2 linked regions of the Bombyx mori genome follow. The protein of the gene in region 2 purifies or fractionates together with the protein of the main gene of each other region. This does not show direct contact. Links are inferred from orthologs where the notes say so. Each region holds a gene or a part of one and is shown on either strand. Other genes may lie near its edges.

The links. The genes of interacting proteins can lie anywhere in the genome.
Region 1: the proteins of partitioning defective protein 6 (region 2) and partitioning defective 3 homolog purify together in Drosophila melanogaster (affinity purification with western blotting; 7 studies listed by BioGRID). This does not show direct contact. The link is inferred for Bombyx mori from reciprocal best matches to the Drosophila melanogaster genes par-6 and baz.

The regions. Positions count from the first base shown.
Region 1 is NC_085116.1:6,900,639-6,904,298, forward strand, and holds part of partitioning defective 3 homolog, read right to left. Parts: coding exon 3,283-3,660; intron 2,243-3,282; exon of another isoform or gene 2,121-2,242; coding exon 1,960-2,120; intron 1,594-1,959; coding exon 1,471-1,593; intron 545-1,470; coding exon 424-544; intron 1-423.
Region 2 is NC_085126.1:2,330,656-2,334,348, reverse strand, and holds the start of partitioning defective protein 6, read right to left. Parts: upstream 2,804-3,693; 5' UTR 2,636-2,803; coding exon 2,576-2,635; intron 139-2,575; coding exon 1-138.

The DNA of each region.
Region 1 (3,660 bases), on a different chromosome or scaffold from region 2:
AACGTACGAACATTTTAATAGCTCACATATTAAAAATCTTTAGTCCATGAAAATGAAAAGATATACAATGGAAACGATACAATAATATATTTAGTTTAAATTTTAAACGCATGTTGCCCATTGTATTATTACCTTATTTGAACCCTTTTTTGAATTAGAGAAAACGGTCTGCGTATTGGAATAAATAATTCAGTTACTCAAATTGTAAACGGTTTAAAAGCTCAAGTGTACATACATCAAAAAGTTACAGCGATCCTCAGTTGTAATTTAAATAGGTGAAGTATATTTTTTTCTATATTTTGCAAAGCTTTAATAATATTAGTCTCTGCTGCACATTACACGAAAATCCATGTTAATTTCTTAGTTTCTCTGAAGTTCAAGTAGTGAATTAGATTTTCACGATTACTTTAGTATAAAACAAACCTGAACATTGTCGATAAGGACTTGAGTAGCGACGGTTTCTTGTGCGACAGTGAAGATTGTTGAGGCGATCCTCTGATGATATCCGGGCCGGCGTTGTCGTCAGTCAACCAGTGCTTTAACGCTGTAATCAAATTCACTATAAGCACGAAAGGTCATTCACAATACTGTTATGATTAATCAAAGTCGGACGTGTTGGATGGACCTATGTATAAAGTAAACGAAATTAAGGTCCGTTAACGATGGCCGGGACACTTGGTCAGAGGAAAAGAAAAATGGAACAAAATAACTACACATTGGTACCCAAGGGAAGGCAAGAGGAAAAGAGGCAGGCAACAAAAAAGATTGGACGATGATATCAGGCAGGTTGCGGGCATAACATGGAGTAGAGTAGCCAGAGAGAGATTAGAATGGAGTAGGCTTTTTAGAGGAGGCCTTTGCCAACTGGCAAACGGACTTACAGAAAGTAAAGAAGCACCAAATACGTGCAGTAGTATAAGAAACTTAATTGTATATCTGTTGTCCGAATAAAAGGCTTTGTTATTATTATGTATACAGTAAACGAAATTAAGGTCCGTTTTTAATCGTAAATACCAGAAAACTTCAAACGCAGACTTTCAATTTGTCTGTCTGTTTTCGTACATAACAGGTTTCATAATTAAAAATTTCTGCTGTTCAAAAAACCGCGTCGGAGCCCCTTTTAAGAGAACTCAACTTTTTCCCTACCTATTCGATGGTAGCCTAAAAGGCTATTCCCCCTACGCCCGGACGGGTAGGTGAGCTCACGGGCTCAACTTGAGAGAATTAGCTAACACTAGCTCTAACAAGAGCAGTGCTTCGCGGAATCTACCACCGAATCGGAATCGCGACCGAGAAACTCATTGGGCTGTCTGTGTCTATGGGTTAGTTCGCTTGTCGAACTCTTCGTCGTAATCGACGAGCTGAACTCAACTGAGTAGTCGAGGTGATGTCCGTGGGCAGCGTGGGCCCGTCTCTCCTCACACCCTTCCCCGCCAAGCTGTTTTAGTATAGTAAAAAATTAATACTTACGTGGGTGCGCTCGCGCATAAATAGGTTCATTTCTGGGATTCCTTTGGTTTTCTTGTATAGCTATCTGGAGTGATTCCAAGCTGGAAGACTTCCTCATACCGAGTGCGGGACCAACTTGCATTGCTGTTTTAAATAATCATCTTGTTATCAAACTACACGTATTATGGTAAAGATAATTTAGAAATATAACATTTATTATAAGTTCATTTATTCTCATCTCATTTAATGTATTTCCCTTTCATATTAATTTCATTTATTTTTATTTAACACCGGACAGAGACGTAAGCTGGCTTACCAATGTCTGCAATAAAATCCTGCGTCCCATTTGACCGTGATTTTAGGCCGTTGCTCATGTACATCAGCAATGTCAGAATTATAACAAAGTCGTGTTTCACAGAAGCTACCATCGGATAGGGAACGCGACCCACTGAGAAGATCCGGCGAGAAACTCAGTGGGCAAATTGAATAGTAGTTATAGTTTGAACTCACAATGGATGGCCTTGATTTCTTTGATCTTCTTGTAGGTGCCGGTCTGCTTGGCGTCCATGGCGGCGTGTCGCTTCTCGGACATGGAGCGGCGCCCCACGGCGTCCCGACTGAAGCCCGCCGCGGCTCCGCACTCGCTGCCGGACTCGCCGCCGCCGCTGCCCCTGCACGCACAACACATATAGATAAATTAAAGCACTATCTAATCACAAACTTAACTAAACATAGGCTATTTATTTCCTAATATACATACTCATAATCCATATATTAATACGTGAAGCAAAAACTTTGTACCCGTTTTTACGAAAATTGCGCGGACGGAAGAGTATGAAATTTCCCACATTTATAGAGAATATAGGGAAGGAGTGCAGAACGCAAATTTTTTTTTTAAATTAGATTCGGTCACCCCGATGGTCCAATGCAGCCTTTCCCAAAGTGTGCGATAACGCCCCCATATGGGCGCTACAGGCCAAAGGGGGACGCTAAGAGACCCAGAAAAAAAATTGGAGTGTTATGTAGAGGCGATTTGTAATTTCATCTAGTAGGACTCTTAGACACCGACTGAGCTCTCGCTATAGTGGTTTTTAAGTAGGTGAGAAAATGGGGGCGCTAAAAAATATATAATAAGTTTGGGAGCCCCTAGTCTAATGGTTAGCGACCTTGACAATGATACTACAGGCATCAGGTTCGATTCCCTGTTGGAGTCAGGAAGCGTAAAAATATATTATGAGTTAACGTCTGTGTGTACCATACATAATACAGAAGAAAAATTTTCTTGTACTTAAAAATACTATCATTATTTATCAGCTCAAATAGCAGTGAAACATCAGTTACTTTATTGTATAGGTTTTTTTTCTTAACATCAATTAGTTCAATAAAAACTTGCAAAATCTATCCCACTTGAAATGTATTGTTCTGGGAAGATCTAAGATGCCGACATCGCACACCACTAATTAATAGCCAGAGTAACCGCTATCAATGCAGCTCGCTATGAATTAAAAAAAAATACACAATTAAAATTAACAAAAGTTATTGAAAGCTTTAGAAATTTAAATTTGACTAAAAGTTATCCATATAGTGGCTTGCCCACACACTCATAATCGCTCCGATGGAACTGACGTGATGACGTTATGGTCGTCAATAGATATACCGAGCTAAGATGTTTTGAATAATTTTACAGTGCAGCTAGAGAAATATTATTAATAAATACGAACTTGGATGAAACACTTCTATGGTAGTAGACTATATTAATAAGGTAGGTATTGAAATGAATTACTTACACTGAAAGAATATAAAAATATTTGTATTAAATCTAGAATAACTCACCTCGTCGTACCATAGTCCTCTTCAATGATAACGTTGTGATGAGCCGGCGGCGATCGAGACATATGTACGTGTCCTAGATTCTGTCTATAATGATGTCCATTCATTTGCGGAACATCGACCTGGGTTGCCATGTAATAGCTCTCGTTTCTTAGTCCCGTCAATCTATCGATCACTGGGTTCCATCCATCAAGCCGACTCCACTCGAAACTATCCCTTTTGGCGTCGTGAGGTACATCCTTATCTCTCTCTAAATACCCTTTAGTGTCATCGGATTGGTTTGAGACCCAGCTGCTGTTGTTGTTTATGGTGACTATGGAAGCGTGTTTTTTGGGGCCGGTTCTTGCTTCGTGGCTATCGAAGGCCTCGTTCTTGTTGGCG
Region 2 (3,693 bases):
GCCGTCCCTAGGATCGGTGTATGATATCAGGAAGGCGACGTCGTGTAACCGATGCAGTTTCTCGATTAGCGCTTTGAAATCGTCATATTTCAGTTTCTCGGTACGATTCAGCGAGAAACGACGGAACTCTGCATCGAACTGTAATGAGAAAAATGTTATTTTTTAAAATACTTAATTATTCCACAGAAACTTCAGAGTGTATCTAGTGTACATATTTTTAGTGACCTAGTGAACTGCTCATACTAGATGAAGCAAACGAGTAGGTGAGCTTGTAGAACCCTAATCTGGGACGTTACTAGCACTAGCCCTAACAAAAGCAGTGCTTCGTAGAATCTACCACCGGATCGGAAACGCGACCTACTAAGATGATTCGGCAAGAAGTTTAGTGGGCTGTGTCTTAGTATTACTAAATCTTTAATTACAATGGTTTTTTTCATTATTATTGAGGAGACAAGCAAAATAGCTTTGAAAACCCATAGACGTGACAATGTCAATGCTGCAAGCTATTTTGAAAGATGAAGTCTCAATTGCACAGTATTATTTAATGAATGTCCCACCCTATAACTAGAATGCATAACTTCTTTATTGTGGAAATAAGTAGGGTGGTAATACCTACCCTTACAGGCCTACCTAACTGATTAGACTAAGAACATCAGGTATGTCTTCAATAATCAGATCTACTAAAATCAAAATAATATAAAACACAGTTGACAAATAGCATTTCAGTTATGACAGTTATTTCATTGACAAAGTTATGAGAAACATCACCTTTCAGTGTGTTAAGGAACACAGTGGGTCAAGAGGTTTTTATGTAGTTGAGTCCTATATGTCCCATTTCATTGAAGGGGACATATCCCATGGCCATGCTCAGGACAAATAAGTTGATTTGTCAAATTGTAGAACTGTGTTATATATATTTGAGTTAATCTGACAATAATAATTAGAAAAAATATTTGAGACTTTATAAAAATCGCTCCAAAGTCGTGATTGAGTGAAAAATGCACTAATACTATAAAAATGAGGATACGTGTATCGTTTCATACTGTGAAGATCCTGAACATCCAGCCTTATCTTTATTGGTATCAGAAAAAGTGTGACAAAAAATAGTTTAATTTATAATATTATAGTGATTTGTATCTCTGGATTATATCATTTTGTAGGATTCATTATCAATGGACACAACTTGGGTTTTTAAAATTTAAACTGAAAAATTGATTGCCATCTTTTTTTGTCCAGACACTAGAGATATTTTTCAAACATTCTAATGTTTATATAATCTCATAGTCTTATAAAGTCCGTTGCTCAGAATATCAAAAAAATTACTAAAATACTTAATTAAATAGTTTTTGGCGAAGTAACATTTCAAACGCACCCAGGCAGATTAGTCATAAACAAACCCAAGACACTAAATATATGACTAATACACAATACTATGTGTAGAACAAACAGAAATTATGAATTTTAAGAAAAATTATAGATGTTTTTGGTGCAGGACATATTGTGGATTGTCACAGAGTATTTACGACTTTTTAATTTTGTCATAAAATTTCAAGTTTTATTATTGATTTTTATGTGATCTCTTTGTTTTAGAAAATTATTGTGTTCATGGTTAAATCGCTTTATTTTTATTAAAACACAAAACACTTTTTGGAATAAAAAAATGCATGTCTCAATTTATTTTATTAAGATTTTTGTTTTAGGTGTATAAAATAGATAAGTATTAATGGAGAATTTGTTCATGCTATCAGTGTTATGTGTAAATAGTAGAATATTTTACACTTATAAGAGTCTACATAGTGTATATTTACACTTATGTGGCCAATTTTTTTGTAAATGTGAATATACCATGTAATCCTTGATGTCATTTTATATAGCAAGTTTAGCCATTACTAAAACACTGACTCAACTGACCTATACCTTGTTGCGAACATTAAAAGTTATTTATAGGTGTCCTAATTTTTGCAATTAATGAATGCAATTTCTTACTAATGTTATCAAGAGAAAACACTATACCAAAAAGCAACAACAATAATGGTATATTGTTATAATTTCCTCTGAATAAGAGCCATCTCAGAACAATATAATGATATTCTTGACACAAGAGAAAATCATTGATTAGATTGATGAATCTGATATAGGTTGTGTTTAGGTATGCAACTGGTAAGCACCACATTTGCATTTTATAGATTTAGTTATGAATTACAACAACAGGAAACAACGGACCTTCTTGATATGAAAAAAAAATGGAAGTTGTCATTTTGCATTCAATAATGTAGTTTGTATTGTAAACAAACAAGGTATATGATAATTTAAACTCAATATTTACTTTAAAAATATATTGTATCAACAGCATGAATATGGTAATATTCTATTTACTGTACCCCCTCAGATACATTTAAAAAAACTAATATTAATCTTCCCAGTTTTGCAGTTTGATTTCTAAACTTATTTATTTGTAATGCAGTTAATCTAATTGAGTCCTTCGTACGTGAAGATAAGAACAATGTAAAATTTGCCCAAAACATGCCATTTATTTATTCTAAACGAGTTACAAAATGAGAAACGTTAAATTTACCTTCGTCTTCACCTCGACAGTTTGACTGTCAATCCGAGCTGCTATCTTATTTTTAGACATCTCGAAGGCATTTATCACAAAACTAACACACTTGTAAAAAAAACTATTTAATACATCTAGGCACTTGATTTCCGAAACAACATTGTAAAATTTAACATAACAATAATTTAATTGACGGTAACCATTCGACTCGCGTCATGCTCGCGTCGTAATTTCCAGTAGGTTTTCTTTGACATTTAGTGTCAAAAATGTTTTTAAGTGACGTCTCCGTAACCAATATTAAAGTGATTCTTTTGTTTGTCGAAGTTTTCATTGGATATTTACGAAACATTACAGTTGAGAACAGATTTAGTTCTATATTTTATGAATTCTCGTATTTTTTTAAGGGATTTTATGACCTGGTAACTAAGACCTTTAGGTCAAGTCTTATTTTAATTTTAATGATACGTAACTTTTTTTATATGAAAATGATATTATGAAATGAAATGAAGTTGATTATTATGAAACAGCATGAAGTGAAATGAAAACGAAATGAAATGATATGGGATGAAGTATAATCTCAGCAAAGTGGTGGTCATTTACTGAGATTTTTTCAGTGGACTTTTTGGAGGATCCCGAGAAGTTACGTCCAGCGGCTTTGTTTCATTTTCCCACATTTGTGCACTTTTACAGATATTAAACAGTTAATAAACTACCGTTATTACACATTTAAACCTGAAGAAACACTAAATAGACAAAATAAAACAAATTACACAACTTCACTCCTCGCGTTCCCGCCAAAAAGTCTGGATTTTTGGCTTGACTTCAGAATTTTTTATCTGCTCCTAATGAGGAGTAAAAATTAAGTCCATATCTTTATATACCTAGGTAGTGTTTTTTAGGTCAGTTATTATAAAAAAAAAAGAAAGGTCTTGTATGAATTAGAACCTAGTAGCGTCTCTAAAAATATTTAGTTAAAATAGTGCAAGTCTACTGTCACACCATTTTTAAACAACTTGAAACGCTGTGAAAAACTCATGTTGGTTTTCTGAAGGCACCATATGGCTTACAATATTTTTTACTGTGTGTGGTTCAGAAAAAGGTGTTTTGAAAATTTACTTATATACTATTATATTTTA